Linked DNA regions of Mus musculus. The protein of the gene in region 3 purifies or fractionates together with the protein of the main gene of each other region. This does not show direct contact. Links are inferred from orthologs where the notes say so. Each region holds a gene or a part of one and is shown on either strand. Other genes may lie near its edges.

The links.
Region 1: the proteins of Copg2 (region 3) and Cope purify together in Homo sapiens (affinity purification with mass spectrometry; 5 studies listed by BioGRID and IntAct, with this or other methods). This does not show direct contact. The link is inferred for Mus musculus from reciprocal best matches to the Homo sapiens genes COPG2 and COPE.
Region 2: the proteins of Copg2 (region 3) and Copz1 fractionate together in Homo sapiens (co-fractionation; 5 studies listed by BioGRID and IntAct, with this or other methods). This does not show direct contact. The link is inferred for Mus musculus from reciprocal best matches to the Homo sapiens genes COPG2 and COPZ1.
Region 4: the proteins of Copg2 (region 3) and Copb2 fractionate together in Homo sapiens (co-fractionation; 4 studies listed by BioGRID and IntAct, with this or other methods). This does not show direct contact. The link is inferred for Mus musculus from reciprocal best matches to the Homo sapiens genes COPG2 and COPB2.

What each region holds. Positions count from the first base shown.
Region 1 is NC_000074.6:70,301,138-70,305,574, forward strand, and holds the start of Cope (coatomer subunit epsilon), read left to right. Parts: upstream 1-1,629; 5' UTR 1,630-1,669; coding exon 1,670-1,795; intron 1,796-3,496; coding exon 3,497-3,559; intron 3,560-4,437. Other genes in the region: probable ATP-dependent RNA helicase DDX49, read right to left, coding at 1,186-1,300. UniProt on the Homo sapiens protein: The coatomer is a cytosolic protein complex that binds to dilysine motifs and reversibly associates with Golgi non-clathrin-coated vesicles, which further mediate biosynthetic protein transport from the ER, via the Golgi up to the trans Golgi network.
Region 2 is NC_000081.6:103,293,201-103,296,956, reverse strand, and holds part of Copz1 (coatomer subunit zeta-1), read right to left. Parts: intron 2,236-3,756; coding exon 2,180-2,235; intron 425-2,179; coding exon 347-424; intron 224-346; coding exon 172-223; intron 1-171. UniProt on the Homo sapiens protein: The coatomer is a cytosolic protein complex that binds to dilysine motifs and reversibly associates with Golgi non-clathrin-coated vesicles, which further mediate biosynthetic protein transport from the ER, via the Golgi up to the trans Golgi network.
Region 3 is NC_000072.6:30,809,622-30,813,377, forward strand, and holds part of Copg2 (coatomer subunit gamma-2), read right to left. Parts: intron 3,227-3,756; coding exon 3,123-3,226; intron 2,098-3,122; coding exon 1,972-2,097; intron 1,367-1,971; coding exon 1,304-1,366; intron 850-1,303; coding exon 710-849; intron 110-709; coding exon 1-109. UniProt on the Homo sapiens protein: The coatomer is a cytosolic protein complex that binds to dilysine motifs and reversibly associates with Golgi non-clathrin-coated vesicles, which further mediate biosynthetic protein transport from the ER, via the Golgi up to the trans Golgi network.
Region 4 is NC_000075.6:98,562,183-98,566,619, reverse strand, and holds the start of Copb2 (coatomer subunit beta'), read right to left. Parts: upstream 2,890-4,437; 5' UTR 2,800-2,889; coding exon 2,797-2,799; intron 1-2,796. UniProt on the Homo sapiens protein: The coatomer is a cytosolic protein complex that binds to dilysine motifs and reversibly associates with Golgi non-clathrin-coated vesicles, which further mediate biosynthetic protein transport from the ER, via the Golgi up to the trans Golgi network.

The DNA.
Region 1 (4,437 bases), on a different chromosome or scaffold from region 3:
AGGGCCATGATTGGTCCCTTGGGCATTCCCTCATTATTGTAAGAAATAGATGGGTATGGTCTGCTTTTAGTACGAGGTGAGCTTACAGTTCACTAGAGCTACAGATGAGTTGGAGGCACTGGGTCCTTCTCTCCCCTAGTTAGTCTAAGACTCGGAGAGTTACAGGTGCTCTGCTATGTGACTGAGCCCATGATTAGAAAGGAAGGGCAGCCAGGCAGTAGTGGCGCACACCTTTAATTTCAGCACTTGGGAGGCAGAGGCAGGCAGATTTCTGAGTTCAAGGCCAGCCTGTTCTACAGAGTGAGTTCCAGGACAGCCAGGGCTATACAGAGAAACCCTGTCTCAAAAAAACAAAAAAACAAGGGAAAAAAAAAAGAAAGAAAAGAGAATAGAAGAGAGGCAGCCTCAAGACCCAAACTATTCATTAGAGAAGACTTGGGGCCCCAATGGACCAATGGGATGGGGAATTTGGGGAGGGGAAAAGCCCTGCAGGTCTATGGAAGAAAAGGTCAGGAATTTCCCATATTTGGGGAAAGGCTTCAAAAACTTGCTTGAAATCACCACACCAGCTATTTTTGCCTTTTCTCTATGCTGGTACCCCTTTCTCCAGAATTGAATATTTAAAACTGTTTCATTTCCACTAGTCCCTTGAACGTGTTATTATCTAATTTCCAACAATTATTATAATTGCTTGTTTGAAACAAATTTTCAGGTAGCCCAGGCTGGTCTGCAACTTGCTACCAAACTGAGGATCACCTTGAACTCCTGATCCTCTTGCTTCCACCTGCTCAGTATTGAGATGACTGAGAGTCACCACGTCCGGCTCCAAGGACGCCTCTTTAATGGCAAAAGTGAACTGGGTCGAAGAGCACTGACACAAACACGGAGCATTGGTTTTTACCTGGAGTTTGACGGCTTCTACGTCAAAGCCAGCTCTACCCTTTTTTTTTTTCAGTGCCATGTTTTAGTCATTCACCGATCTCTCCCTATGCTCGGGTGCTACGAAAACTTAAGAGGTGCCACCCATCACCTGTGTGATAATGAACACGAGTCGGTCGCAGCGTAAATGTCAATGCTGCGGGTCAGGGTCCCCGAAACACTCAATGCTGTCCTGATTCCTGGAACCCAAGTGGGGCTAAGGAAGAGCGGGCAAAGAAAGGCATTAAAAGAAAGGCGAGAACTCACCTTCCAGGATGGCCGGAATGCACCCGAGCTGCACCGGCGTGGGCTGCTTCAACCCCAGCTGTCGACACTGTTCTACCAGCCACGACGACAACCCGATCTCAGCGAACCCCGCCATGCTCCAGACCCGGGCAGAGAACCTAGAAATGAGTGCTTCCGGCGCGTGAATGCTACGTCACGTCCACCCCGGCGCAGTCCGGCCTGGAAAAGTTGTGAGAGGACGTTGGCGGAGGAATGTGACGTCACGGAGAGACCCTCTCCAGATCCTTCAACCAATCCGAGCTTTGACCGCTTTTCAGTGTTTTGGTTCTGAAGGCCTTGTGTTTGTTGACGGAATCCGAACTATAGTTCTCGGGAGGCTTTGCAAGGTTTCTTTTTCATCGCCTCTGATTTGTCCCATAGAACTACGTTTCCCAGAGTTCCTGACGACGGGGACCTGCTTCCGGCCTACGTGTCCCAGAAGAAGGTTGGTTAGAGGTGCGGTGACATGGCTCCTCCGGTTCCTGGCGCGGTCTCTGGCGGCTCCGGAGAGGTAGATGAGCTGTTCGACGTGAAGAACGCTTTCTACATCGGCAGCTACCAGCAGTGCATCAACGAGGCTCAGCGCGTGAAGGTGGGCAGCGTGCGGAGCAGCTTCCGGCGCGCTCTGAGGTTCTGGTCCGAGGACTCGGTTTCTCTTATAATTAGGGATGGTTTTCAATTTACTCTGTAACCGAGGCTAACCTTGAGGTCCTGCGCCTCCAGTCTTCACCCCTCCAGTGCTAGGATGACAGGTGTGCACCCCTGTGCCAAGCTTCCAACTTTCTGGTGGTTGATTGACAGGGGCTCACTTTATAGCCCAGGCTGACCTGAAGTCAGGGTAATGGTGAGGTGACAGGTGTGCGCCACTAGCTCCATCATAAAACCTCTTACTGTTTCGTTTTTAAACCCCCCCCGCCCCCCTTTTTTAAGTGTCTAAAGTCAGGCATCATGGTGCACGCCTTCTATTCCAGCACTTGGGAGGCTGATCTCTGTAAGTTTAGGGTCAGCCTGATCTTCATAAGCAGTTCTAGGTCAGTTCGGGTAATACTGTAATCTGTCTTAATAATAGTCCTAAACCGGAGGTAGCTTGGTGTGCCTTAAATCCCAGCACCCAGAGGCAGAGGCAGTCAAGTCTCTGAGTTTTGGACCACTCTGATCTACATAGCGACTTCCAGGACAGCCAGGGTGCTACAGAAAAACCCCGTCTTGAACTGTACCCTCCTCGCCTCCCCCACTCCCCCCAAAAGGGAAGTTTGGTTATAAAAGAAGACAGTCTCCTTTAGCCCAGGCTGGCCTCAGACTCCCCATGTTGCTGAAGAGCACTGAATTCCTGATGGCCATGCCTGCTCTCTGGAGTGCTGGGATCATAGTGTGCACAGCCAAAGCACAGCTTCGATGCAAATGCTCCACAGGCTAAATCCTTGCCCTGGTTTTGTTTTATGTTTTAAGCAGCTTCATATAGCCCAGGCTGTCCCTAGATGTAGCAGTCTTGTCTCAGCCTCCCAGATGCAGGATGACAGGCCTGTGCCACAATGCTCAGCTTGTCTTTAGTTCATTAAAGATGTGACCCGTGTTTGCAACAGCCTGTGTGTGTTGTTGACAGAATCACCTGTCACTCATTCTTCACTGTGCACTCGTGGAAAACAGCATTCCTGCTGGGCTCAGTAAGGGATGGAGTTGGTGGAACTACAGGCTTTCTAGGTATAGTAGCCTTGGCAACAGAGGCAGCACAGAGAGCCAGGAAATGGCAGAATGGGTGTAGAAAGTGGTGGTCTTAGACTTGCCTGTTTTGAATGTGAAACAGAGTCAGGGCTGTGATGGGCTGGGGCATGGCTCAGGTAAACTATGTGGAGGCTTGTCCTTACCAGGCTAAAAAGCTGTTTTGTTAAGGTTCTGGACAAGAGGCAAGAAGATCCAACTTGTTCTCAGCTATGTAGTGAGTTTGAGGCCAGCCTAGTCTGCATGAAACCCTGTCTCCAAAACTCCCAAAATAATAAAATCAAAGCCAAATTCATTGAGCTTGTAAAGCGCCCAACAGGGCTGGGGCATGCAGCTGTGCTGCTGCTGTAGCCGTAGTGGCACTGCACGCTGTGATACTGGGATGACGCTGTGATACTGGGATGACGGCGGAGCCTCCTTGGGCTCGCATCAGTTGAGAGAAGATCAGGGCTTTGCACACTGGGTGCCCTCTGGAGGCTTTGGGGCTTCTGGGTCTCCTGGATTCCAGCTGAGACCCAGAGCTATGAGCCTAGCAGGGAGGCTGCCCAGCCTCACTCTGCATATCTTCTCACAGCTCTCCAGTCCTGAGCGGGAAGTAGAGAGGGATGTCTTCCTATACAGAGCATACCTCGCACAGGTGAGTGTGGACAGCCTGGGGAAGGGCACAGAGTATTATGCAGGAAAGCCGTGGACAGCCAGGCCAGGGGACTGTCAGGATGCCTCATCACGGGGAGGGTTAAGTATGTGTGGTCCTGAGAATTGAACTCAGGTCATCAGGCTTGGCAGCCATCTCACATAGCTTAGACTGGCCTTGGATTCACTATGGAGTCCAGGATGACCTTCCTTTCCTGCCTCCACCTCCCTTGTGCTACCATGCCTGGCTTCGTCATTACCTACAGAAAACACAAGGTGTATTTTCACTTCTGTGTTCTAAAAACAGCCCCAGGCTGTGCAAGGTGGCACAGGCCCGTCTTCCCAGCACTTGGGAGCCTGAGGCAGAAGGAGCTCAAGTTTAAAGTACCCTGGGCTACACAACAAAATGCTGCTCAAAAAGATATATTCCTAGTGACCTCTGAAAAGGTCTTCTTCACTCTGGCCCAGGGCAAGGGCTGAGGTGCCCCAGGAGGAGCCTGGTAAACAGCCTCCTAACCACAGACTGCATCACCACCCTGTGCCTAGGTCAGTCGCACACTCTGTGTGGTTCTGTGTGGCTGTGATCTTCCCAACAGGGCATGGTGACACAGTACTTGGAAGGCTGAGGAAGGGGATTGCTGCAACTCTGAAAGCAGCCTGGTTGAGAAAGGACAGCAAGGGACAGGTGGCTCCAGAAGTAGCTGTGGGTGTCAGCAAGAGATCTGCCAGGTGGGGGAAGGTGGGACATAGCAGACACCCTCTGCCCCCACCCTGCTGACACATGTCCCCAGCTACAGCAGGGAAAACAAACGTGGCCACCTTGCTGCCTGCTGCAGATGCATGTGACACTGCTGTCTTGGGCAGTGTGCTGGTGGTGTGGGC
Region 2 (3,756 bases), on a different chromosome or scaffold from region 3:
CTCCTCTGCTTCTCTGGGACATGGAGATGTAGAAGCCGGGAGAATGATACATTCGTGTGAAGAGGACAGGAGAAGGTGGGACCTATGTATAAGCTGACCCTCAGCTACACCCACCCAGCAAGCCTGGCTTGGGAGGATCCGTGGAGAGATGGGATACACATCCCTGCTTACCCTCAAAGCCACCCGGTGCACCACTTGCTGGGGGTCGCTCTCTAGGATCACCCTACAAACACAAAGAAGACGGTTGTTTGCTCCAAGGGACCAATTTGCTGTAAGTCAGGTTCACTAGCTGAGGGGCAGCCACCTCCCCTCCCCACTCCAAATACGGGCAGGGCAGAGAACTCACCCTCCATCTACAATTTCATCCACAGCCAAGAAGAGGCCCTCCATGTTCTCCAGCAAAGCTCGCTTTTCTACATTTTTCCTGAATCCCCAAAAGAAGAGGAAAAATTAGGTTGTGTGAGAAAGGAATTCTGGGATACTGTCTAAATAAGGGATCCTAACCCTAACCAGTAACTGCCTCCACCACCCACATGTAGAAGGGAGTGAGGTGAAAAAGAGCCTTTTATACCACTGAACAGTGACCAGAGTCTTGACATTCTGGGGGGGATCCCAAACAGCTAACTTCTGACTCCTAGGCTACTTATCCAGCATGCTGCTGCTGCTGCTGCTGGTGGAGGTGCTTGTAAAAAGACATAGAAGATAGGAAAAAAATTCATAGCTCATAATCTGGAGTTGGTGATGGTGGAAAGGTGGGAGGAGTGGGAATGCAAAACCCTCTGCGTTCAAGCTCCTTCTGAAGTCTCTCTGCCTCTCCCCTCCCCCCAGGTCTGTTCAAACCCTAAAACAAAGGCCAAGGAGGGGCTGGGAACAGCCAGGGGCTGCATCTACCAGCCTCAGATCCGGTGGTTGGTGCATGTGGCCTGTCACATCCGTCAGTATGACTCTTTCTCTAGATTACCCGAAATGAAGTCTATTCATTCACCTGGCTGGGAAATAAATCACCCCCTTCCTGAGGAAACCTGAGCCTCTGGCTGCTGGGTTGTGGGCTGAGAGCACCCGCTGTTCTACTCCACATGGATTTCTAAAATGTGTTCACTTTTAGGAGCTGCTGTGGCTGAAGTTCAGAGCCTTGAATGTTTTCAGAGAAAGTATCTTATATCTTCCCTTGCTTGTGTGCGTGGGAACAGAGGGCTACTGGGGAGGTAGAGGGCAAAGAGCACAGTGGGCCCATTCTGTGTCCAGGGAAAGACTATAAGGGCTAGCAATGGAAAATTGTGGTGTTTCCTCCTTTTCCAAGATAGGGAAGTTTCACCTGGGTCACTGGGTCACTTCCCTGGCCTTCCCCTCCTTCAAACCCAGCGGACAGGCCTAGGAAAGCATCTGGGGCTCAGAACACCATCAGAGTTACTGGACATGACAAGAGTAGGTACAGGCATACAGACGAGGTCCGAGTCTGTACTCCAAACTACTCTTGAAGCTGAAGCAGGGGTTACATGTTCAAGGGTTGCCTGGGTTACAAATAGAATCTTAAGACAGCCTGGGTAAATTTTTATTTGTGTATCAAAGACTCTAAGGTTAAAAGTTGATGTCAAGACACAAAAAGGCTTGAAAAGCTATAGATAATCAACCTCTCGATTATTTTAGAGCATCTGATATGCTCTGCTCCCAACTGAATCTTAAGCATGATGTGTTCTGGTGACAGGATTACGGTTCCTTTACATTAGTTTTCAGAATCAATCTTTCTTTCTTTCTTTCTTTCTTTCTTTCTTTCTTTCTTTCTTTCTTTCTTTCCTTCTTTCTTTCTTTCTTTCTTTTTTTTTTCCCCCTAGGACCTTGTCTTAAATTAAAAGAAAAATAAAATAAAGAAAAAGTTTAGGTGAGAAGCTCAGTGGTAGAACAGTTGCCTACCCTTGGTTCTAATCATCAGGGCAGCCAAAGGAAACAGAGAATAGAGTATTCTTCCTGAAGGACTCTCTTTCCTCCCTCAGTAAGAGAATGATTCCACATGAAGACCATTCTCTCCACCTAACCCTCCACTCAAATTAGTTATCCACAAACAGCAAGTCTATGTCTTACACTGAACCAATTCCCCAGTGTGGCTCAGATTTCCCACTAATCCCGGGCTCTAAGGAATAGGTATTTCCCTTCCAAATTTAAAATGAGAATGGCTGCTCACCTCAGCATCTGGCTCAGGGAATCGAAGAGGCAGTTCAGAACAGCCATAAGCATCAGCTGTTGAGAAAGGAGAAGGAAGGTTCAAGGCCCTAAAACTGCTACCCCAAAACAGACCTTCCACTTTTTATTCCTCACCAAAAAGCATAAGCTTTCACAAACGGCCAGAGACATAATGTGAAGGGCAAACACAACAGCAGAAGGACTCTGGCTTCTCAAAGAAGTTAGTTCTACTAAGCAATTCCACAAGTAGAGGCTTCTTTTTTTTTTTTTTTTAAAGATTTATTTATTTATTTATTTATTTATTTATTTATTATATGTAAGTACACTGTAGCTGTCTTCAGACACTCCAGAAGAGGGGGTCAGATCTTGTTACGGATGGTTGTGAGCCACCATGTGGTTGCTGGGATTTGAACTCTGCACCTTCGGAAGAGCAGTCGGGTGCTCTAACCCACTGAGCCATCTCACCAGCCCTTCTTTTTTTTTTAATTAATTAATTTATTATATGTAAGTACACTGTAGTGTGTCTTCAGACACTCCAGAAGAGAGCATCAGATTTCGTTACGAATGGTTGTGAGCCAACATGTGGTTGCTGGGATTTGAACTCAGGACCTTTGGAAGAGCAGTCAGCGCTCTTAACCACTGAGCCATCTCATCAGCCCCCAAGTGGAGGCTTCTTTAAGGCAGAAACTGAAACAGGACTTTGCTGGTATAGTCCTCTATAGACGATTATAGCACTCTGTGTATTTACTTTTTATTAAAGATTTACTTTTCTCTCTGTGTGTTTTACATGCATGCGCACAGGAGTGCCCATGGATTCCAGAAGAGAGCACTGGATCTCCTTGGAGCAGGAGTTACAAAGAGTATGAGCTGCCCAGCATGGGTGCTAGCAACCAAACTCAAGTACTCAGAAAGAACAGCAAGCATTCTTAACACTAAGCAATAGTTCCACCTGTGTTTTGCTTTTTTGAGGTAGTCTGTCACATAGCCCCCGTTGGTCTTGAACCACCTACGTAACTGAGGTCAATCCTAAATTCCTGATGATTATCCTGCCTATACTTCCCAAGTGCTGGGATAATAGGAGTGCATTGCCATCCCTCTCTGCCTCTAAGTCTTTTTAATAATTATTTTATTTAATGTATATACATGTCTGTCTAAAACTATGTGTGTATACCACATGTGTGCAGTACCCAAAGAGGCCAGAAGAAGGCACCAGAATCCCTGGGATTGGAGTGATAAAGACAGTCATGAGCTCCTGTGTAGGTGTTGGGAATCTCCCAGGTCCTCTGGAAGAGCAGCCAATGCTCTTAACAGCTGCCCTATCTCTTCAGCCCCTACCCCTACGCCTTTACCAAACTGCCTGATGGAAACAACTGGAAAAAAAAAAAAAAAAAAAAAAAAAAAGCTGCCTGATGGATTAGTAAAGAGAGAGATCTTTAACTAATTAAGAGCTGAAATCAGAGGGAGGTGGTTGGAAAGTCCTTGTTAAAAATGGTACTCAGAGCCAGGTGAGGTCATGCATGCTTTTATCTCAGCACTTGGAAAGAAGAAGCAGTGAATCTCTGTGAGTTCAAGGCCAGC
Region 3 (3,756 bases):
GGAGGCTGGGAGCTGGGATACAGCACAGCACTTCATAGGAATCGGATGGTTCCATCTGCACTGTTACTTTCTCCAGCAGCTGGTCATTTAGAGTGTTGGTACAGTCAAACTGAAAAGTCAGCAATAGAAAACTTGTAAAGAATAAGAAATGCTTTCCAATAAGTGGTTTCTACTCACTCATAGTTCACAGTTCAGCTCTGGCATCTACTATACTCAACACTAAGTAGCACTGTAGGTCTCCTAAGGCTTTTCTTCTTTTTGTATTAGATTGAAGGCAAGCCTTATACCTGCCATGAGTGTTCTCCCAACTGTGTCTGTGAAACAGACAGGCTTATTATGAGTGCTTTGTGCTGAGCCATCAGTGTGTGTCTTCCTGAGTCTGTCTCTACTTCAAGGTGTTACAAAGCTAAGTTCTGTGACCAACACACTTAGTTGACCTTGTTTAAATACTGATTTTTAAAAAATTATGCTGTATATCTATTTTTGGAACATTTTAATTTTATATCCTTTTAGATTTTAGTTATCAAAAATAGCCCATCAGAGGAAGAAACTTAGTATACATCTAAAAAGAAAACTGGAAGTGTTGCTTAATCAATCCTTTATGAAAGGAACTAGAATCATAAACTATAGGGAAGTACTATTTGTCTCCAAGTATAGCAGCTTGTACTTAAAGGCTATAAAAGAACCAAGAGTTAGTTTGTTATCTCACCTGGAATACAATATGGTCAGTAAACATGTGCTTCACACAGCGAACGAAATACTCTGTCTCTGCTTCTGTAAGCTGCACAGGCTCAGAAGACTTAAACAAGGGTCCCAGGTTCATAAACTCAGGAATGGCAGCTAACTGTTCTGTTAAGTACAAAGAGAAAGAAAATACAAGTACAGTATGAAGAAGACAGGAAGAGACTTTATTAAAATGCTTTAGTTACCACAGAGTAGAAAGAGCGGTTAATTTTAAGGTTTTACTAACAATTGAAAAGTCAATTTGGAGATCTCCAAACTTCTGTGAAATAATCCTTTAAGTTGCCAAGTTTATATACTAGATTCCTTTATGTAGGAGGGAAGAAGAAACTAAATTGCTAATTCTTTCTCTCTTAACCAACAAAATATGCACAAGAATAACAGTCCCAGGTAGTAAACTAGTAACTGGAAAGTCCATGAACAGCAGGTAGCTCCAGCCACTAAAGCCTATGACACAGGAAAATGTACAGAATTGAGAATTAATCAAAATGAATAAAAGCAGTGGATGTTATTAATTTATAATGCCTAGGGATTAAAAACTATTGTATTCATAAAAATATACCTTGGAAAATGTCTTGCCTGGAAGGAGCCAACTTCTCTGGCTTAGGAGTCACAAGTGTAATTTCTAGAAAGACAGAAATAAGCAGTCAAGTGAATTTTTTTCTACTTCTAACTGACCTTGTATACAGAAAGAAATGAAGGCAATAACTTCTAGTAGATACACAGTGGCAAACAGCTTCAAATATTGTGATATTTTGTATTAAATAATTAAAATTTTTTTTCAACTTAGGACATATTTCTTATTCTGGCTTTTGGATAAAACCAAAGAGGCTTAAAAATGAAAATCTTAAATTTAAAAAATGTCATCTATCTTAGTACTAAAAGATCTCAAGGAATAAAAAAAAAAGTATTAAGAGAAAAAAATATGCCTGGTGTGGCGGCACATTATGCCTTTAATGCCAGCACTTGGAAGATAAGGCAGGTAGCTCTCTATGAGTTTCAGCTCAGCTTTGTCTACATAGTGAGTTCTAAGACAGGGCTACATAGAGAGACCCTGCCTCAAAAACCAAACAAACAAGAATTTAAAAAAAAAAAATGAAAGAGAGAGAAACTATGCTATTTTTAAAAATCTTTTTCTATTTTTATTCTCCAGGTTAGACGCTATATTTACAAGTTTTTATGAAATGACTTACACACAGAAAAACTCATAGAGGTAAACAGTTCTGATACCTGACTTCTGCTCAAAGACAGGAGCCATAGCAAGAGGAATTGACTTCATATCAAAGGGTTTTTCTGAAGGCTCCAATGTATACTGGTGTAAGGCCTTTTCCATCCCTGGTATAGAGACTGTCAGACCTAGAGACAGGAAAATCTCAACATTATAATCTATTCTCAACAATCTGTAATGGTTAAGCTTTTTAAAGAAAGAGAAACATAACAAAAAACTATAGCCTAGTGGTTCTCAATCTGTGGGGATCAAAGTACTCTTTCACGAGGGCTGTCTAAGACCATCAGAAAACACACATATTTGTATTACAATTCATAACAGGAGCAAAATTACAGTTATGAAGTGGTGACAAAAATGTTATGGTAGGGGTTGCTACAATGTAAGGAACTGTATTAAAGGGTTGCAGCATTAGGAAGCTGTAGATAGCCTACTTAATCTAACAAAAGATTATTATAGACATCTGCCTCATAAACTTATAAGCTGCTTTATTTCTTTCAAGGAAACATGGGAACAAAGAATAAAAAATATCAACAGAATGCAAGCAATTCTCATAAAAAAATATCTTATCTATATGGGAACAAGAAAAGCAGAAGAAAATGAAAATGGGGACAGCCATTTAAGAGGGAGCTTAAGTTTTTTCTTTTTTCTTTTTTTTGGTTTTTCGAGACAGGGTTTCTCTATAGTCCTGGCTGTCCTGGAGCTCACTCTGTAGAGAGGGAGCTTAAGAAGCCATATTCTTTGGACCCTTTCATATTTTAAAAAAAAATCATCTTCTCTATTATTTTATAGGAACTGCTATTACCAAATTAGAAAATACCTTTATGAATATGGGTTTCTCTAGAAACAGAATTGCATTCAAAGATTTAAAACATTCAACTGCCTAAAGGAGTCAGCTAATACATGACTCAGCATAAAAATCATTGCTCAGCCAGGCGTGGTAGTGCACACCTTTAATCCCAGCACTCAGGAGGCAGGGGCAGGCGGATTTCTGAGTTCCAGGCCAGCCTGGTCTACAAAGTGAGTTCCAGGACAGCCAGGGCTACACAGAGAAACCCTGTCTCGAAAAACCAAAAAAACAAAAAACAAAAAAAAAAAACATTGCTCATTTGACAAACAAATGTGCTATGTGTCCATAATCCTGACTCTCACTGACCATTGAAGATATATGTAGCATTCAGGGCCATCTGTCTCTGCTGTAGCACATTCAGGTAGAAGGTAGCTCGGTCCCGTACCTCATCATCAGTATCCATCATACACCTGATCAGAAAAAATAGTATAGGCACACTTCTGTCTAAGTCTTTGTATACAGAGATGTCGAACAGTCTCACCACTTACCTGAAGAGTGCAGCTGAGGTCATCTGATATGACTTTTATGACAAGAGTTCAATAATAGCTAACATCCTAAAAATTCTTGACCTGTTACGAATTACTAAAGAAATGTTGCTATTTGAGAAGGCACTGAGATCACTAGGAAGAACACAATACCATGACATAATAATTTACAATCTAATCCTGAACCTGTGACTACATGAGCTCAACAAAGACAGCTTTTCTACAACTAAGAAATGGAAATGTTAAACTTTCTAAGGATACAAAAAGAAAACTAGCACTCAGAATCTAGACAGCCATTGTTCAAATGGCAATCTGTTTTACTTAAACTAGTTAGTCTCAGTCTTTGGCTAATGAGTTAATTGCTTTAGTTATAAAATGCAATCACAAAATATTTGCTAAAAGGACCACCAACTTTTTTCCTTTCCTCACCAACCAAGGAGTTATGGAGATCATAA
Region 4 (4,437 bases), on a different chromosome or scaffold from region 3:
CAAACAGTAAGAGACCTCCAAGGAACTTCAGAAGACACTTCTGAAACCCCCAGTTTATAGATAGGTAAATAAATTTAGAACATCAGCTAAATCACAATTTCATGTCCATGCATTAGTGTTGTAGCAGACAATGTTGTGAAGGTATATCATTTATGAAGCTGTAGTAATCCTAGACCATAACATTAAATGAGCTCTTTAAAAATAATCAGATGGGGAGGGCATTTAAACTGTAGGCAAGTAATGTCTGATCAAAAAGGGTTTACTCCTGTTCATAAAGGCCTTTTGAATTTACAGATACATACTGAAAAACAGAACAATTTTAAACAAATTTAAGCCATAAAATAGTAACAGTTTAAAACTGTCCTTCTCCAGTCAGACCACAGCTATGAACAGTTCTGAACCACAGAACAGAAAATGATTTGAGCAAGCGACTGTGTTCCGTCTCTCCCAGGGAAGCCATTCCAGAAGAAAAGTTAGTTCATTCCACAGTGAAGTCCTGGAACACTCTCTCTTCTTCCACTCTTTCTTGTAGGCTCGTTTAAAATGCACTTCCCCTTCCATAAGCCTAGCGCACAACCTGGACCTTACTGCCAGGATGAGTTACTGTGCTGGTGCCTCTGTGCTGTTCCCTAACAGTCATGAATTCAACAGAAAGCGAAGGTTTGCTTCTCAGCACAAAACTGAGGACCCGGCAGAGGGAATGCCCTGAAACAGACACCTAACAAGGCTCTCAGTCTCCTCTCTCTGTGTGTCTGTTTGACACATGTACTTCTAACTGTTCTTCATTGTTTGCTCTTCACTTCCAAAACCAGCTTTAGGCCCGTGCTCTAACTAGTCAGTTCTCGTGAGAACACCTCCACTGTCATGCAGCCCTGCCCATCTCTAACATACTCAAGCCACCATCTTTAAATCACAAGCTAATCTCAGGGGAGCAAACCTTTTCGATGATTTCTAAATGTTTGCCCCACTAATTACTGTCACAAAATTTAACTTCTCCCTCTCATCTTTGAGTCAACAACAAGCAGGAAGTATGTTATGCCAGGAGCCATAGTGGGATCTTCAACATAACATAAGCCCCCACATCCAAGTAAGTATGTGTAAGTGTGTGGTGTGTGTATGTGTGTGTAAAATAGGATTGTTAGGATAATCCTAACAAGGTTTTCAAATTGATTTTTCAAAATGGCTAGGGATCTCTGAACTACCTAGTATATAGCTGCACATACCCCAAAGTAAAGACACCCATTTTAAAATGTGCATTACTGCAGGCAAGCGCTCCTGGAGTCATACTTACCATCCCAGTCATGAGTGTTTTAAAGATATCATACCAGGTCTTAGACGATTAAACTACTCACACTGCATCCTCAACTCCAGACTTAGTTTAAATGCCACTGCCACCATTATGCCCTTTCTGATTAGCCTAGCCAGAGGATTCTTCCCCATCCACGTACACAGCTCTTCTTGCTTGTGGAGTGGTTTATTTCTGAAGGGCAGGCTCAGTGCTTATCCAGCTCCTTCTCTCCACACCATATGTATTTGGGAATACGGGAGGAACAGGTAGTATAGATGAGGTCCACAGTCTTGCTAGAAGCCTCAGCTGCAGCGCTCATGTCAGACACATGGTAGTAAGTTTAATTAACACCCAAGGTTTGACTTGTATAACAGGGATAATAATAATATCTCTCTTAGCATTCTGAGAATTAAAATCAGAGTTCAGTTAGAGCAGAGCACGGCTTATAGTAACCACCATAAACATTACTCATAATTATCCACAGGCTGCGGTGACAATCAGCTGGTAAATGTTTAGCAAAATGCAGGACAGTGAAATGCTCCTATGGTGAGTGAGCAAATAAATAAAGTCATGTTTTGTACTTTTTACTCGAGACTTAAAATACAGCCATCTTTTAGTATCTCTGCACATGGTTCCAGTATCCTCCACCAAATCAAAACGCTCACGTTCAGTTATTTAAGTGCTTATAATTTACCCATCACTCCTGGTCATCTCTAGATTAGTTAGAACACCGATACAGGGGTCAAAGTTGTAAAGAGTCGTTGTATACTATGACAGCACATGTTCACACAACAGTTTTCCTCAAATGTCTTCCACCGAAAGCTGGTTCAATGTGTGGGTATGGAACTCACAAACATTGAAGAAGGAAAGTCAATTTTTAATTGACTATTAAAAATATGTCTCAAAACTAAGTTAGGCAGATCTCAGGGCCTTCCCCAAAAAGGTCATCCTCTGTGTGCACAGAAGGCCCAATCAACATCAACTAGAAAACGACGAGCTGGGCTGCCATAGCATTTGAAATTTCACCTCTGGCTCCATATACATTTAACTTTGTTTAGTTCTGGTTTTCCTCTGCTTAAGTTTGCAATGTGGTGCCTGCACACTACCAAACACCTCACGCAACCTGGAAGGTGGGTTAGCAAGCACCACCCTCAATGACAGAATAAAGTGACTTGGTCAAAGTTGCCTTTGGCATCCGAGTCCTGACTCTAGCATTTACTTGCACTACCGGACCCGGTGCAGACTGCAAGGGCACTGACAGGCGCCCTGACCGCCCTGAGAGTCGGGGGCGCCGCTCCTTCGCGGGTACCCAGTTACACTACTGTGTCACCACGGCAGCCTCCCGGTCTGGCCTTCTTCCTCCCAGGACGCCAACGGGACAGGAGGACCCCGTCAGGCCGCAGCAGTAGCAGCGCAGACCGCTTCTAGCTACTGCTCCTAGCCAAGAAGCCCCGGGAACCCGCCGCAGCCGGTGGGCTCCACTCTCTGTCCCCTGAGGCCCGACTTACCATGGCTCCGACTGTCCGAGCGAGCCCCTGCCCGTCACAGGCTCAAGGCGACACACTCAGGAACCCACCGACCCGTGGACCGGCCAACCCACTGACGTGGAACTTCCGGGAAGCGACTCTCGCGGTACTCGGAGCCAGGCTCTGCGCCTGCGCACACCCTCCGTAAGGCGGTCCGTGCATGGTCCCGCCCCAGTTTCCTAGGTAACGCGGACTTCCGCGTCTCCCGCTGCTGAGCTGGCTGATGGAGTGTATTGCTGTGGCCAGAGTTGGGCGGTGACTAGCGGCGGTCTGGGCTGCTCACCTTCGGTCAGTTTCAGAAAGGCAAGAAGATGGAGCGCAGTGCTGGATTCCTGCTGAACGTCGGCAGCAGTGGAGGGGCCCGGAAGCGCTATCCGAACAGCGTGAGCCTCTGGCAGAGAAAAGAAAGCTCTAAAACTGTGTACTCCAGCGGGCTCCGGAACGGGGCCCAGAGCGGTGTCTGGGTCTTGGGTGAAACCGACCGAGGCGGAAAAGATGTGGGCGCGGCTCCCGCCTTTGAGGCTCCGAGGAGCCCTGAGATCTTGGTTCTGGAGGCTCCCGGAGGCAGTCGGGTGATTACCCTTCAAAGAGCATCCACCGGGTCGTTTGTTTGGCTATGTACCTTCAGTTGGTGGTACTGCCACATCACGTAGGAGTCGTCTCCGTTTTATTGATTGGAAATGTAAGACTCAAAGAACTCAGGTTTACTGGCCAAGATGGCATAGTAAGTAGTGTTGTTAAGATCTGGGCTCAGGGGAGAATACGCCCTGGAAGCCCAGTGCTCTATCTGCTATGCCAAAATAGCTCTTTAATAAATTAGTTGAATTTCAAAAAAATGATTGCCAGGAAAAGTGCAAATACATTGTGTATCGATTTCACACACCTTTTAAAAAGATAATGCTATGAAACAAATGGAAGTTGCCCTTAGCTCCTTATAAACCTCTAGTTGGAGAAAAGCCTAGGTTTCCAGAAAGGAATTGTATAGCCTGAGAGAAGTAAGGGTGAGTTTTCATTAGGTAGTGCCTGGCTCTTGGGAGATTTATAGGCCTCAGTTTTTCATATACAAAAAGTCAGATAGTTTTCAAAGATCCATTTTTACTATTCTGTCAGTAAAAACAAATTTTCTCTCAGTAATGAGATTTTTACATAATTGACATGAATAATCACATAATCGCATACTGTAGCGCAACCAATTGCAAGAATTAGTTGAAACTTTTTAAAATGTGAACTATATCTAGTGTGGAGAATAGCTGGGCTTCTATTATTTTTGATTCCTTAATTCTCTTTGCATTTTTAATTTGACACAGTATCAATAAATATAAAATAAAATAACATCTCCATTCCACAGAACCTGTTGATAATACTTAAATCTATATAACACCTGTAGTTTACCTGCTGGAGAGTTAAGCCCCCACCTGCCGTGCTCATTTTGTGTCTCCATCTTTTGCTGCTGCAGGTCAGCAACATCAAGTTCTGCAATAGTGACTATGATCAGCTCTTAGCCAGGCCATAGCGTACCCATGTAACCACAAACCTTGAAGATCTGCGAGTTCAATACCAGTTTCTGCAAGACTCTCTCTCTCTCTTTTAATCTTTTAAAACTTATGTACTGAATTTCGGCTA